Linked DNA regions of Daphnia pulex. The protein of the gene in region 1 purifies or fractionates together with the protein of each later gene. This does not show direct contact. Links are inferred from orthologs where the notes say so. Each region holds a gene or a part of one and is shown in the gene's direction. Other genes may lie near its edges.

Region 1 (5,024 bases):
GACTGTGACGGGATTGGATCATCATCGACTTTTTGCTTCAGAATGGCCGTTAGTGCCACGTTGCGCTGCGGTGGTCGAGCCAAGATTTTGATTTCCTTTACAGGTTCGATCGATAAATTTTCAATCAGTTTGTCAACAGGCGATTCATCCGGTCTCAGGCTGGAGAAAAGCCATTCGGGTTTGTCTTCGCCACTCTGCACCGTCAACGCCAAACACCCAAATTGTTGTTCAGTCAACCATTTTCCTCGTTGGATGATTCTCGACGCTCTTATTCGATGCTCATCTACTTGAGTCACTTGCGTTGAAGGCCATCTAGAAGAGGGGCGGAGTGGAGCGAATTCGAGCAATTCTAAATCTTCCGGAAGAGGTCTTCCATCGTCGTCTACGGTGAAGGAACCGTTGGATGCAAAACAAATTTGGAGCTGATTAAGTAATTTCGCTGTCGACGACCAGAGCTGGCCGCGTTTGATTTTCGTGAGCACTTGTGGCTGAGAGTGGAACCAATCGAGGACAAGTTTGATCACGCACAAGTACCTGGAGTTGGGAAGCTGTTGGTCGGGCAGTGAACAACAGGCTGTTAAGCAAGCATTGAAAACAGATGAAGCGACATCGATAGCCAACTGAAGTGATCTCTTTTGGGCGTCGGTGGCCGAGGCTGCACTACACTCGCCCACCGAATAGAGAGTGATGGTCAGCATGCGGATCAATTGTGCTGGAGTCAGGGCTTCCGTGGCCACTAGCGATGGCCAAGTCAATGTCAAAAGATTTACCGTTTGCTCCGCTTGATCCAGATCGACACCTAGTCCAATTTGTCCCTGCAGCTTGAGAAAAGCGAGAAGAAACTCTTCGGCGCTCAGTCGACCTCCGCGAGTTTTCTGGTAATTTGATACTTGCACAGATTGTTTCTTCAGGAGTTTATCGAGATTGATTCTAGCAGGTGGAAACGGATGTTTGAGGGCCAAGCTGCGGACGTAGTAAAACAGCGTGGACAGCATATCCCCCCGTGCTGATACAAGCAGTGCCAATTGGTTGTAAGGATGTCCACTTGAAGGTTCAACATTGATGGCCTGATTGTAGTATCCTTCGGCTTCAGTCAAAAGATTTCTGTATCTAGCCAAATCTCCCAAATGGATCAAGCAGTGCTGGCAGATGTAAAGGACTGACTCATTCTTGGGCTGGAGAGCATAGGAGGGGCCATTGAAGATTCCTAATTGGGCATTTCTCTTGCAGATGGATGAGCTTGTGTCGCACTGGGCACAAATTTCTTGCAGCAGAAACATGTAGAATCCAGCTGCTCCTTCCAAAAACAGTTTGAGGATGGGATTGCTACTTTTCTTCCCTTGTTTTGGTTGCAGCCCCGAGATGGGAACTTTAAAACACACATTCCACAAATCTTGCTCAACTTTCTTGTCAAGTGCATAGTCCAAATTTGACAAAATAATGTCTTTGTACAGGTTGCGTAAAACATAGAGGAAGCTGCAGTGAGAGTCATTTGTCACATCAATGACATCTGGCATAGTTGATCTGGTGTCTCCCGCTTCCCTGAGAAAAAGTAAACAACACAAACATGGTAAGTAAAACCAAAAAACATTTAATGTGACATGATAAAGTTTATCATTCAAAAACAATGTCAAGTATAGTATAGGAACATTTTTAGTTAGTTATTTGCTTTTCCAATGTAACAAGGACGAGTACTCCCACCCACTGTAACAGTTTCCAAAACCTTGCTTAAATACTCCCACGTGTTTATACGGCAATCTTACCTCCATAATTCTTCAGCCGTTCTCATTTTTAAGAAGTGGTATTGTAGGGATTGTATAATTCCCGAAATTACAATCGGGAGCAGTACTCTCTTTCACTTGCACACTCATTAAAAAAAATCTGTAATTCATTCATTCATTCAACAAATTCGTCTGCTTCTGTCTAGCCATCTAGTAGCCAAAACACGAAGCTTTTGTATTTAAAAAGCATGAATTTGAAAGAAGATTGTTCGAGAACATGCTTGGAGAGATTACGAATTTAAAAAAAGCTGCGGTTGATATTTCACACCGATCCCACCGTTGAATTATATTTTGTAACACAACACCTTGGAAATAGAACCGCAGTTCGCCATAGGCAGCACTTGGTTCAATTCATAATTGCCGTTTTTTTACAGTCAAGCAGAAGACGTCGAATTGACAAAAATTTAATCATTCCCTTGTGGTTGCAACTTGCACATTTCGTTTTGTCAAATCACTCTTACGTTGGTTTTCTTTGAGTACAGTTGCAAAATGCCTAGACCTATTGATGAAGTACGTAACATTTATTTTTTCCTAATTTTTTTGTGTTTAAAAACTTGTGTTTCATAAGATTTTCTTGATGATTGACGTGTACATGATACTAGTGTCTCGTTTGTTGAAACTTTCAGCTTCGTGCAGATGTTGATGAGCTGAAGAAATTGACAGACTTGGCCACGCGCCAATCTGTGAGAGATGTTTTGGGCATCGAAACACGCCGTTTAGAAACTGAAATCAGTCTTCAACTCAAAGACAACATGTTCAATCTTGAGGCAAAACCAGCTGCCGCAGCTGGAGCTTCTGCTGTCAGATGTTACGATGTCAAACTTACAAACTATGGTAATCTTTTATAAAATTTTATGCTGAAGAAAAGTTGATGATTTAATGTTGTGTAATTTATCTCTTTAGCTTGGGATCAGTCTGACAAATTCTTCAAGCTATTCATCACTCTGGCAGATGTCCAAACTCTTCCTGCTGAAAATGTAGTTTGCACCTTTGGTTCCAGGTACAATGATAGTTAAAAACATTTGCATTAATTCAATGACTAAACTGTATGATTTTATAGATCCCTTGACCTCTCAGTTAAGGAACTAAAGGGTAAAAATTATTCTCTGGTCATCAAAAATTTAGCTGAAGTTATTGATGCATCAAAGAGCCACTGGAAAGTAAAAACAGGTAAAAAAAATACTACACTAAAGTATAGTGACATGTGTATTAATCCTGTCCCCCTTGTTTTCCAGATTCTGTGGTAGTCTTTCTATCAAAAGTTAAACCAATCACTTGGCCCACTGTTACTATGGAAGAAAAGAAAATCAAAGAATCTAAAGCCCCCAAATTTGACGCATCAGCCAGCGACGATCCACAGGCGAGCATGATGAACATGATGAAGCAACTCTACCAGGACGGCGATGATGACATGAAGCGACAAATTGCAAAATCTTTTGCAGAAGGTCGAGGAGGTAAAACCCCTGATTTAGGGCTTTGAAAACTTAATTAAATACTTAAAGTATTTGTCAATTCTTTAACGAACAATATACAAGAAACGTTATCGAATTCTTTGTATTTTTCAAAACAATTAGCATTCATCGACTGTTTCACAAACAGGACACGATGTAGGAACAACAAATCAAAGCAATAATACCGACATATCTTAATTTTGGTTCTGGATTGAAACAATTGGTTTTACCAATACTCCAAACAAGTTTTTCAATAAGAATGCTTCATTTCAGATTAGACTGCAATCCCTTCAGGGGTTAAGCTTGATACAGTCGTGGAGTGGAATCAGAGTATCCAGTTGACTTTCAGCGACATCCGACTGTAGAAGGTTTTCGGGTTTGATGAGATTCCATTTATAGCTGGTCGAGGGTTCGAACTTGACGTCACCACGCGGTTTGGTGATGAGCTCAAACAAAAATCCAAGCGTTTTCTGACTGACTTCTCTCATGCGCTCCTGGGATGGCGCTGCGTGGTGCTGACTGAATGACGGTGCGCCCATAACGGAATTCAACCAAAATCTAATTTTGTTGATGAGAAGCACATCCTAAAGGGAGATACAATAAAAAACTGTGTAAATATTTCGTGAAATAGAAAACAACAGTATAAACACTAACCGTAAGACCAATCTCCGAGTCAAATGTAAGTTCCATATCATGTTCAGGATAGAAGGATTGCTGCTTCACTTGATCGTAACCCAACCCACAAATGGCACCCGTAAGGCGTTTAATCTCCTTGTCCGCCCGGAATTCAGCTCTCGGGGCAAAAAGAAGCGTCAGAATGGCCGGTAAACCGGGGATATTTGGAAGCAGAGTGGTGCTGCGAGCCTGGACATGGCGACCGTTTTGTTGAGATCCGACCTGTAAAGAAGAAGAATTTAAAAATAAAATGTAAAACATAGTGATTCAAGGTATCCTTACGTGAGCAGCAACGAGAACGCGCTCGTGATGATCTCCAGGTTGATCTTCCAGTATAACTGAGTTGACGGAATCATCTTCTATCTTGACCAGGCTACCCAAAAGGGATTGCACTTTGCCGAACATCTTCATCTCCAACGGATTAACAGGGCCAACGAGTTTGACAACAGAAGTTTCATTGCGACTGTAATGTCTTGGCTCGTCAACTTCAAGTTCCATTGCCAAATACTCGGCAGCCACAGATCTCTGTTCCTCCAACCTAGTGAGCGTAAAATTGTCAATTTCATTAACCGATTTTTTAAAATTTAAAATTATAAATTACTCTCGTTGTCGGTGTCTAGCCATGTGAGAATTCGGCTTGGCTTCTTGTGCGGATTGACGCTGTTCATTATCTTGTTTGTTCATAAAAGATTCATCCACTTTGACGGCGTAGTTGAGTTTCAACATCTGATCAGCGAATGAATTCTCCCAACTGCCACCTTCTCCAATCAGATCCATAGATGTGATTCCATTGACGACCGAAAACACCTACGTAAAATTATTCGAATTTAGTTAGAAAAGTTCGGTGCATGCACAAGGGTCTCACCTTGGCTATCAGATGAATTCGATTATTTAAAATAATAATTGGCACTCTACTCACCCTAGCTGTAAGTATTTGATCCACCGTCTGCAACTCAAACCATTCTTTGCCGGACTTTGTCCACTTTCCTTTGGGATCGTTGATAAATGACGGACCCACTCCTGTCAGATAGCATTCAATGGCCAAAGGCGGAAATTTGAGCAGTCCATCAGACACCACTTTCAAATCCTTGACGTGGGCCTCGGCTGCGTTGCCGAA
Region 2 (5,229 bases), on another chromosome or scaffold:
GTTAAGGTGCAGAAAGCAGTAGCTCAAATGCAGATTAAGATAAATAATCTATCAGGGACTCGAGTGAGTCTTCATATAATTGTCAGAAACACAGGAAACAATTGTTCATCATGATATTTACGTTTAATTCGTTAACATATTGAGCTATTACCTAATATCCTATGAAGATGGCGCCAAAAAAAAAAAACACCGAACAATAAACCAGTCCATCTGAACACACAAAAAACACAAGTTATTTTCATGAATTTGTCCGGTTGCCCAACCCCTTGCTTAAAAAAAAAACAAAGCAAGAAAGGCCTCAGGGACTCGCTTTAATGTTGCAAACAGGACAATAAGAAACCTGGCGTACAATTGTCTCCTTAAACAAACCTGTTTGCCGAGTCTCGCATTAAAAAAAATTTACCTTGTGTAAAATGAACTCCTCGGATTCCAATGACGTTGACCAAGAAGCAATACCACATTACCTACAGAAAAAAATAAATCTATAACATCAGTTTGTATCGCTGATATCGTCAACTCAGTTAAAGATCAAAAGGAAGGCAGAATGAATCATCATGGAACTCGGAAAATGCTTTTAAGCGTTCTCATCATTTCAATTTACGTTAAACATTACAAGTAATTCTCTCTACTCACTACGTAGATCATGAAATCACCAGCATCTCGAAACGAAAGAAAATGAAACTCCAGTTTTTGGCCCAGTAGCTCAACAATCGACGGCGGTTGTTAAACAAGACAATCTGAATAAACGAACCAAACAAATCGTCAATATTTGTTTACAGCCGATTAAATGATATTAAAAAGCCTGAATTATCAGGGACTCGAGTGGGTCTTCATGGTTGTCAGAAACACAGGAAACTGTTGTTCATCACAAAAATCCAAAAGAAACCATTAAAACTGTCCATTTACCTAAGAATCGCAAACACCTTCATGATTGTATCTCATCTAGTGTAATGCACACCCACTGCCTGCAAAAAAATAAAAATAAACACCATTAAAATGTTAAATCTTCCTGTAAAGTCAAAACAAATTGTCTCAAACCGAGGTGATCAACCTCTGCAATAAATACAGATCGAGCATAAGTGGTTAGACGTTTAATTTATGAGATCCTCTAGCACCGGAATACTACATGTGCGTTAAACCGGTGACTCTGAGGCTCAAATGCAAATGTAAAAATAACTATACCTCCTCCATTGGCTCCATAGCCGTAACAGTCGACATCCATCCTCCACGAAATGTCTTGGCATGGAATCTTCTCTGTAAAAACGATATAACGTTAAGGCGAGGACTAGACCAAAATGACGACAAGTCACTCGATACTTTCAGCACATTTAGTAATCAGGGTACATATTTAGGTGTCCTAAGAGTGTCATCAGCAAAATCCAACAGCATATTTTACATATATGATAAGAAAACCAACCTTTATTCCTCGATTACATTCAAATCAGCGAATTCTGGAAGATAGGTTACAACCAACCGGTGCAAAACCAAGTGAGGTCAGAAATCAATCTAGACATAATTGATCATGAAAATCTACAAACCATTTCAGTGTGATACTGCTTTGGTCTACACTTCAGAATATTGCGATAGAGATTTAATCAAAATATTAATTTAGGTACACTAAATTTCATTGTAATCCTAGGGTCATCAGGACTATTTACCCATATACAATAGGAATTCGTTTTTACCTTCCAAACTAGTCGTCTTCAAGGCACCAATGTAGCCTAAATGCATGATTTGTCTCACAGCCCTTCAAAAATTGTTTCCGATCCTTGCACTCATCTGCCATCATCCCTCCTGGCATTGAAGATATCAACCTAAAATGAACAGATTAAGAGATATAATCAAACCTGTTCCTACATGAGGCAAATTAACAACTTAAATTGACAAGTTAGTTACTAGACAAGAGGAAATTTCATTCGCCTCATGACCGTTACTGCAACATTGATTTCAGACTGAACATGGAATTTCACTTAAAACTACTTATTATCAAACTTGTCCATTTTAACCAAAGAAACCCCAGACCAACCTGAGGCTTCTTTCTCTATAATATACTTCTTAGAGAAAGTCGGTTTTATTAGACTTCAACCTTACCAAAGCAATACACATATAGATATTAAAAATGTTCAGGCTAATTACTGTGTTAAGAGCGTTAACCATATCCTACAACTACGTTTTCAAAACTTAAATGAGAAACTAAAAAATTAGAAAACCCAGAATAACCACGTGTTGATCAACTTACATGTTCAGCATTTGAAGGATTGGTTTGAAATGAAAAGAAGTGACGTTGGCACTTCCATATGTAAACTTCGTTCCCTAACCGTCAGACTGCGTTTTACGGTTTAATTTTTCTACCGCCCGATGGCTCTGCAACACCTTGTTGTTGCATTTATTTAGGTACGTCAATTCTGTTCCCCCTTTATTAAAAAAGAAAGAAACGCGAACTCTTACTGAGAAGCAGGTGTGTTTACTTAATTAGGTCAAAGTTTTCTTGGCCGTTTTGTTAACCAAGAAAAATGGGAATTGAAATAAATCGATTTCAAGGAGAAGTTGATGAAGAATTGTTGTGTCCAATTTGTAGTTCAGTGCTCGAAAATCCGTTACAGGTAATAATGACAGTTCGCTTCCAAAAGCGAGAGTAGCAATAAAATTTCCCCAGAGGGAATGTGATGGATTTAATAGACTTGTAATTTCAGGCACCCAACTGTGAGCATGCATTTTGCTCTGCTTGCATTCACGAGTGGCTCTCGAGACAGCCAACTTGTCCTGTCGACAGACAAAACATAACCCCTCCTCAGCTGAGACCTGTTCCCAGAATACTTCGGAACCTACTATACAGGTTGGTGGTTTGGAAGTTTGAAACCTTATTATCAGTATGAAATTGTACCATTTCTCTATTATTTTTCTAGACTACAGCTCACTTGTGATAACTCTGTTTATGGGTGCACTGCAATATTGAAACTAGATGCCCTGGAGTCTCATGTACAAGAATGTGAGTTCAATCCAAAGAGACCGGTGCCATGTGAGCTCGGCTGTGGGCTAGTTGTGCCAAAAGACGAGTTGAAAGTAAGTGGGTTGTTTTACAGGTTACAACTTTAAATAGTACCTTATTTATGTTGATTGCATTTCCAGGAACACAACTGCGTGCGAGAGCTGCGCTCGTTGATGCAGGCCCAGCAATCGAAACTAGTTGAGGTGCAGGCGGAAGTAGCCGAGGGCAAATTTCAGATGAGCGAACAGAAACGAGAACTGCAGCTGCTGAAGGACTACATGCTAGCCATGCGGAACGCCAATCCTTCGCTGCGGATTCTGGCAGATCAGATGGAAGCCGACGAAGTGAGACGCTGGGCCGAAACTCTACCCAAGGCGAGAGTCCTGCGCTGGGGTGGCATGATCTCGACTCCGGACACGGTGCTACAGGTAATATCCTACAGTTGGCGAGCTCAATACATTCAATCAAATACGATAACCTTTTAAAGTTGCAGGCAATGATCAAGAGAGCCCTTTCCGAATCGGGTTGCCCACCGCACATCATCCAGGATCTGATGGAAAACGCCCACGAACGGCGGTGGCCGACGGGATTGTCGTCGTTGGAAATCCGCCAGCTGAACCGGCGTCAATACGAGAACTATGTCTGCCGGAGGATTCCGGGCAAACAAGCCGTGGCCGTCATGGCCTGCGACAACGGACATATGAATCCAGATATGATATTGGAACCGGGTCTCATCATGATTTTTGCTCACGGTGTAGAGTGACACCCCGGAATTCTTGTCAGATTATTAATCCAACAACATGTTTGTCTTCAGTGTCCTCGCGACCGGCTGGACCACTCCAGCGAGCTGACACTAATGAATTTGTCCCTTTTGTCCTTTAGTTCAGAAGCAGCAGTCCTCTCAACTTACTTAAAAGAATCTGATTTATCTTTTTTCGAATTGTTTATCGTCATCAGTTACTTTCATTGAATCGTGCTCAGTTTGGGGGCTAGGTGTAGGTTTTTATTTGAAATGTTTCTCAATTGGTGTCCCCGCTCTTCGGCGGTTGTAAATGTTCGATACTTGATTAATGATGGCAAAAATCTTGTTTTCTTTCATCATCAACTTTTATGTGCAAATAATGATAGTATATTCCGCCGATGCTGCGGAATAATAAATAATAAAACAATAACTGAGAAGTCAATCGTATGGTATAGACAGTGTGTGTTTGTGTGTATTTTTTTTTTATCTTTTCGTCGATTATTTTTCTGTTATTATCTTTTTCAAACCGGGTTTACTTCTTCTCTCTTTTCAGTTATAATCACATCATCGTCACACATGTTATGTAACATTTTTGTTTTTTTCAAAGTGTGGAAATGGGTTGAGGGTTGGGGGTGGATTTTTTGGAGATGTAATCGCACTACATCACATAGCCATGCTCATCCGAGTATTTAATCACATCACTCAAAAACACTTCCTCTTTTTTAATGAAGTTGATTTTCTTTCTTTTTCGAAACTTTGTTTTCGTCTCCATTCGAATGGCGGAGGGGAAGGATCGGCGGGTAGTGAAACAACATGATACGGGAAGCTAAAGAGATGATTTCAAAACAAGTTATTCACAATTAAGGACAAAATCGATGAGCCAGAGAGAGATAGAGAGAGAGAGAGAGACGTAATAATAAAGTGGTTGGATCGAAATCAAACGTCAAAGAAAAACTACATTGTGTTTGTTGTGTCTGTGCGAACATGTATATACAATTCTTGTACTGAGCTTCTGGAATCTGAAACACACACACACGCATGGAAAATAAAAGACAAATGATTGGCTTTTGTTTCGACGTAATAGAATCGATAATATAATATATAAAATCTTCTGTATATCTATTTAGAGAGAGAGAGAGAGAAAATAAAAGATGGGGGGTGAATCAAACGGCAATTAAAGTTTGTAAGGGGGGTGAGCGAGTTTCAGAATGAAGGGAAAAAATGGGGGGTAACCGACGATCCCGAATCTGCTGACAATCGGATCTGATCTGTGAGGTCCGTTCGGTTTTGAACAAAAAAAAAAGAAAATCAAATAATCAAAAAAAGCCCACACTGCGCAACTGCAGCACACATTTGTTTGTTCTTCTCCTTGTCGCTTTAACCTCAATAATTCTTCGTCTCAAATTGGGCGGGGTCGGGAGAGGAAAGAAGCGCAGCAAGACGTCGTCGTCGCTCCATAATGACGGCCAGTGAGCTCAATCTCGCTCGCGCGAGCACG
Region 3 (5,851 bases), on another chromosome or scaffold:
ATGCAGTTGTGAGCGGTTTCCTCTTTGCAAGACTAGAATTCGTATACAGATTTTGTTTTTAAATGTTTGTGAATGTAGCTGTGTGCTTTCATCAAAACAGTTGCATCTTTTCGATTAAGTTTCTTTTTATTTCCGCCTTCCTCGTACTTTTCTTGATTGCACTTATTTTTAGATCTTATAACTCACAAGGCGACTAGTGTTCAAGAAACAAAAGCAAACAGCATGAAAAAATTTCAAGATTATCAAATTCAAAATTGGAGAACGCGTGGACAATAGTATCATGCCAGAGTCAACGAGGAGTAAAAGAAAAACAGAGAGAGTATGTAAACAAATGAAGATCATCACGAAAGAACGAATTTTGCGGATTTAATGGTGCGATCCCATTGTAATGGTCACAAGCGCCATTGCTATAAATCCAAGGAAATGGAATGCAACTTTAACCATTCTGTCTTTCGAACTAGCAAGTTCGGCCGGAATAAGTTCGAGGAATGTGACGTGAATGAATATCCCAGCTGCAAGAGATTGAAATATTGCAGAAGCGACAGATCCACCAGTACCGGGAGCTTGTTGAACGACCAGTCCAAGACAAATCCCCAAAGGGACAGCCAGTGAGAAGATGAGAATATATTTGACTCCTTGTTGGAGAGTCAATTGCTGTCTTGCCATTGTGATACCAACTGAAAAGGCGATGAGGGCTTCATGAAACACGATCGCGAAAAACAGGTGAAAGATTTTCATTTGTTCTGTCTGCAAGCCCAAGGCCATTCCTTCAAATAATGAGTGAATGCTAATAGCCATGTACAGCAGAGTTAGGCGTAGGGTTCCCCCAGATTTGTTCTTGAGAATTCTTTCTACTTGATGGTGGCTGCAGCCTTGGGCTGGTTCCAATTGAAGAACTTTTTTAGGACTAGGTGCTTCATCGCTATCTTCTTCCTTAAAGGTGACCATAGGAACATTTTGATAAATCCTGGGGATGTTGATTTCCTTTAGAATCGAAGGACTCTCTGGTGAGACTGCTTCTAATGCTTTTTTGCCAAGCAGTTCTTCTGAAGCACTTTCATCTCTGACTGTGTTATAATAATTCAGTTTACTTGATCTATCAGTTTCGTCAAAAGCCATTGGGACTTCCCAGTCTCCATTGGTCTTGTTCTTTGAATTTTGGCATTGAAGAATGAGCTGTTCGACTGACATGATAAGGAAAAATCCTAAAATGCATGTGAATTCAGCAACAGGAAAATCAGTTGTTATATTAAGGTCTGCAAGCACTTTCCTCGTCTTGTCTTGCGCATAAGGAAGTAGTCCTAGAAAGCACATTGCGATGAAGACTCCACCAGCCATGGAATTACAGAATGAAATTATTCTTTCTGTACCACGACTAAAGTTGCAGTCCTTGGTAGATTTCTTGGCTACAATGCAGACTGGAATCAAAGCACAAATTGCCATAACAATGTACACAATCAAAGCAGTGACAACCAGCAGTACTTGGCTATCCATGTTGACTGCCACTATGCTTGGATGTGTCTGATGGACTGATGCAACTGTTTACTCTTTTAGAATTTTTCGTTTAGTAATTTTCAGCGTTCGCACAGGCCAGATGCCACTGACTCTACTCACTGTCCCTTCGCGTTATTATAAAACTCAAAACTACTTGAGACAAGGGCACTTACTGCGCCTTGAGCGAAATATTAACTCGAGCTCGGTCAACACCCTCTGTCGGTCGATTTGTATTTATTTTTATTTTTTTTGTGCTTTACATCTTCTGCTCGTTTTCTTACTTCATGCTAGAAGGAACCTACGACAGGTTCTACAATAATGCTACAATAATTAATTCACCTACCTGAAAGGTATATGCAGGGTGATTTTATTCCTTCCTGGCAGAAGTTATGCAATGTTTCACTTAAAAAGTAAAATTCCAGACACACGATCAAAACGAAGTCAATGTCACAATACTGGCAGAGCAGACAGAATGTTCGTATACAATTAACATCCTTGGTTGCCTTCTTCGAGCAAAAATTCGGAAATTGAAAAATACATATTAGCTAGAAGCTAGCTAAAAAATATTTTTCAACACAATTTTGCAAACATGAAAAATTATGTTTTTTATTCATAGCATCACTCCGAAAATTCATTCCATTGAAAATTTGAAACATTTTGAAACTCTATGTTTTCGCTTATTCATCGACATGGCAACCTCTAAATAATTTAGACAGAAAAATAGACACGGCCATCTTTCAGTGGAAAATTTGTCTTTTTCGTTGAATAGATAAAAGAAATCGTCGAAGAGTACATTTCAAGGGCGTTTCGGTAAAGAGAGTGATCTTTGCACAAGCATCATGACAATTCTGCCGAAAAAGAAGTCATCTCAATCACGGTCGGAATCCGAAAGTAATACTGATGGATCTCCCCTACAACACCTCTCAGTTGGGAGCAATAATCACCTTTCACACATTGGACCAGTACCACAGGTAAAAAAATTATTTTTATAAATATACCCCAGTATTTAAACAGCCTTTGGAAGAAATTATGGCTGGAAGTTTCAGTGCATCTTCTAATTGACATCTGAAACAACCACACAAAATGGCCGGTCCAGCTACAACCAGTACTTATGTACAAGAAGCAAATGGTGCTTTGTTCATTACACCCTTGCCATTTAGGCAGTGCTCAATGAATAAAAGCAAATAGTATTGATAACTATTATTGACAAAGATGACAAAAAGTCAGCATTGTTGATTCTTATTAAAATGTATTTTACATAAATTTTACAGGTAGCAGAAACTTGCAGTGTGTCTAGGCTGTCTGGAAGAACATCATCAAGCCATCCCCACAGCCACGGACACAGCAGCCAGTCATCATCTCGCTATGAAGATTATGACCTGGAGAGTGGTCCTAGTCAAACAAAAAGAAGAATGAGAGTCAGTCCCCATAGGTATTTAATCTCAGTTATTATTTTGTTGCATTGAAATTTGACAGGCATATTTTTTTTTTATTTAGAGCTGTCCGCCCCAAGCACAGAGATAGGAATTCATCAACCTCTGCCATACCTAGTACTAGTTCAGCCATGCACAGTGTTGCCTCTTCATCCAGCTCAGGAAGTTCTCCCACACCAAGCCATACAGTACCAGATCCTTCTTCCCATGAAGATGAATCAGGAAGTGGATATAACAGTGGAGATGAATATGGACCTGCAAGATCTTCATCTTCTAATGTCCCCATTTCTGAAGAAGAATGGGAACAGGTATGTTTCCTAAGACAGAAGTGTTATTCATAGAACTCCATCAATGCCAATATGATTATTAGAAGGAAAGATGGTTTGAGAAAAAGATGCGGAAACGAGGTTTTATTATTAAGCGGATGGGTGAAGACGGAGCCTGCTTGTTTCGTGCCGTTTCTGATCAAATCTACGGTGATCAAGAAATGCACTCAATGGTTCGCAAACATTGTATGGACTATATTGTAAGTAATTGTCCTGTTGTATTTTTATGAATTTGAAACATTACGTCTATATTTATATTTGTCATAAAAGGACGCAAACGGAGACTACTTTTCACAGTATATGACTGAAGACTTTGCCGCCTATGTGAGTAGAAAAAGATTGGAAAATGTACATGGCAATCACATTGAGATGCAGGCTATGAGCGAAATGTACAACAGACATATTGAAGTATTTTGCTACAGCGTCGGTAAGCCCTTATCATTTCGATAAAATTCGCTAAATAGAAGGCTTACTTAAATTTAACCCATTACAGAGCCGATCAATATTTTCCATGGTAAACATCAGACTGATGACGAACCTATTCGATTGTCTTATCATCGTGGAGTGCACTACAACAGTTTGGTTGATCCGTACAAAGCCACTGTGGGAGTAGGACTGGGATTGCCAGGATTTGTCCCTGGTCAAGCAGACAAGAAATTAATGGGTGATGCCATGCGACAAAGTGAAGAGACCTTAATTGAAAAAGCCATGTTAGAAGATAAAGTTAAAGCCACAGATTGGGAGGCAACAAATGAAGCTATTGAAGAGCAAGTTGCCCGTGAAAGTTACCTCGACTGGCTTAGAGAAAACGAGCGACGCAGTCGACAGCAGCAACGGTCCGGTCATTCGGCAACCACTTCCTCGAATGCCTGCGAGCTCCGTTCCCCAAGAACAACAGCAACGACGTCCTCTTCAGCTCGTAATTCGCCCAAACCATCTTTTGTTGAACACCAGCGGAAGTCTCCAAATGCTTCACCGAGAGCGTCCACTTCACGCAGCGCCACAACCTCTAGTAGTCGTGAAGGTGCATCAACTAGCCCTATCGCGTCACCGGCCGCTGGTACTTCAAGTTCAAACCCAGTGAACACCAGTAAACCCGATTGGGGATTGGGGCCAGGCTTTGAATTGGCTGAAACGGCTTCATTCCTGGGACAGTTGCCTCCTGACATGTTTGGTAACTGACGTTTATATCAACAGATATTTTCAGTTTAATTTTATGCTTTAAAATTGGCTAAAGGTTTAGCAGACTGGGAGGATGCTGGACTTTTGGCTCAAGTGCTGGCTGCATCGCAACAAGAGTATCTGGACAAGTTGAAAAAGAGCAGGGAAGCCATCGACCCTCACGACGACGAGACGATGGATAACACCAAACAGCAGCAAGAGGAGCAGCCGGTTGAACAGAGCAGTCGCGACAGTATGACGACAGATCCAACCAACGACCTGACCAGTGCGAACGGGACTAACAATAGTTAACCCAGACTCCTCAGTTGTTTTGTCTACGTGTTAGCTTTCCTTTTTTTTTCCCCCCGTCAGTGGCAGGGAGCTCAAGAGGCGTGTATCAGGGGAGGAGTCAGAAGAAAGTCCTTTCCATGCAAAATTGTTAATCTTTGATTCTCGGTCTAAATTTAGACTCGCAATGACGTCTGACTGACACAATTGGATTGAACTTGCCTGTACCCCCGTCTCCTCCACTGCCGATTCTCGCAAACTGGCTGCCAAATCATGTAAAAAAAATTCATCCGCGTTCAAAGTCCAGTGAAGCGAGAAAGGGAGAAATCACTTAAAAAAAAAAAAAAAAAAAATGAGGATTGTAATAATTCGTTACACAGCTTTTCTGTCAAAATAGCCGCGGATGCTCCTCTTGCCCTCCTGGTGCCTTTGAATATCTTTCGTCGTGGTTTTCTCCATTTCGTTTTGCGGATGCTGGAACTAACTAACGTCTCCCCGTACCTTGGCAGCAGCTGATGTGATGGCCATAACTCGCACTCTTTTTTCTCGTTTGTCACGTTCTTTTGTTTTTGTTTTCGTTTAGCTTTTTCTACTAGTTGTAGGATAGAAACACGTCAAGCTATTCCGTCTGTTGAAAGCTAAATCATATGTTTTCTTGTATCACTGACCTCTTGTGCTTTTCGTGTGTATTTGTTTTAAATCCCTCTCTTCCCTATTCTGCTCTTGACACTCTTGGTTGATGTCAGAAAAGGTCAATGGCTTTCTTCTCTTTATCTCTCGCCCGTATATTGCAGATATAAATCTATTTGATGATGACGAAAAATTTAAGAAAATGAGAGACAAAAAATAAGCTTTATGCAAATAAATTAAGAAAACAAACAGACTGCCGGTATTGTAATCAAGGCGAGGATGTGCGTACATTTGTGTATTAGAAGAGAGAAACTCAATGCAGTAAACTATTTGATGAATATGTGGAGCAGCGCGCTTGCGGAAAATAACGTGGCCCGATTTTCTTTTTTTCATAAAGGCGGCCATGCTCATGGTCAGCGCAACGAGAAAAGAATTCTATATATTTTTTGGGCCAGAGAGGGCAGGAAATTCAGCCCGCTTTTGGCTAGAAAATGCGGTTGCAATGGAATATAGGGGAAA

The links.
Region 2: the proteins of calcyclin-binding protein-like (region 1) and E3 ubiquitin-protein ligase NRDP1-like purify together in Homo sapiens (affinity purification with mass spectrometry; 4 studies listed by BioGRID and IntAct, with this or other methods). This does not show direct contact. The link is inferred for Daphnia pulex from reciprocal best matches to the Homo sapiens genes CACYBP and RNF41.
Region 3: the proteins of calcyclin-binding protein-like (region 1) and OTU domain-containing protein 5-B-like purify together in Homo sapiens (affinity purification with mass spectrometry; 4 studies listed by BioGRID and IntAct, with this or other methods). This does not show direct contact. The link is inferred for Daphnia pulex from reciprocal best matches to the Homo sapiens genes CACYBP and OTUD5.

What each region holds. Positions count from the first base shown.
Region 1 is NC_060023.1:1,465,126-1,470,149, forward strand, and holds calcyclin-binding protein-like, read left to right. Parts: upstream 1-1,961; 5' UTR 1,962-2,270; coding exon 2,271-2,291; intron 2,292-2,407; coding exon 2,408-2,615; intron 2,616-2,684; coding exon 2,685-2,781; intron 2,782-2,841; coding exon 2,842-2,951; intron 2,952-3,016; coding exon 3,017-3,261; 3' UTR 3,262-3,329; downstream 3,330-5,024. Other genes in the region: protein SMG7-like, read right to left, coding at 1-1,542, 1,764-1,789; probable ATP-dependent RNA helicase spindle-E, read right to left, coding at 3,523-3,816, 3,887-4,129, 4,190-4,445, 4,509-4,714, 4,827-5,024. UniProt on the Homo sapiens protein: May be involved in calcium-dependent ubiquitination and subsequent proteasomal degradation of target proteins. Probably serves as a molecular bridge in ubiquitin E3 complexes. Participates in the ubiquitin-mediated degradation of beta-catenin (CTNNB1).
Region 2 is NC_060021.1:11,014,412-11,019,640, forward strand, and holds E3 ubiquitin-protein ligase NRDP1-like, read left to right. Parts: upstream 1-2,461; 5' UTR 2,462-2,513; coding exon 2,514-2,603; intron 2,604-2,693; coding exon 2,694-2,836; intron 2,837-2,906; coding exon 2,907-3,063; intron 3,064-3,129; coding exon 3,130-3,417; intron 3,418-3,476; coding exon 3,477-3,752; 3' UTR 3,753-4,183; downstream 4,184-5,229. UniProt on the Homo sapiens protein: Acts as E3 ubiquitin-protein ligase and regulates the degradation of target proteins. Polyubiquitinates MYD88. Negatively regulates MYD88-dependent production of pro-inflammatory cytokines.
Region 3 is NC_060018.1:2,563,362-2,569,212, reverse strand, and holds OTU domain-containing protein 5-B-like, read left to right. Parts: upstream 1-2,182; 5' UTR 2,183-2,333; coding exon 2,334-2,465; intron 2,466-2,765; coding exon 2,766-2,926; intron 2,927-2,991; coding exon 2,992-3,235; intron 3,236-3,297; coding exon 3,298-3,453; intron 3,454-3,523; coding exon 3,524-3,680; intron 3,681-3,746; coding exon 3,747-4,427; intron 4,428-4,490; coding exon 4,491-4,726; 3' UTR 4,727-5,585; downstream 5,586-5,851. Other genes in the region: uncharacterized protein LOC124208638, read left to right, coding at 1-12; zinc transporter ZIP1-like, read right to left, coding at 367-1,494. UniProt on the Homo sapiens protein: Deubiquitinating enzyme that functions as a negative regulator of the innate immune system. Has peptidase activity towards 'Lys-48'- and 'Lys-63'-linked polyubiquitin chains. Can also cleave 'Lys-11'-linked ubiquitin chains (in vitro).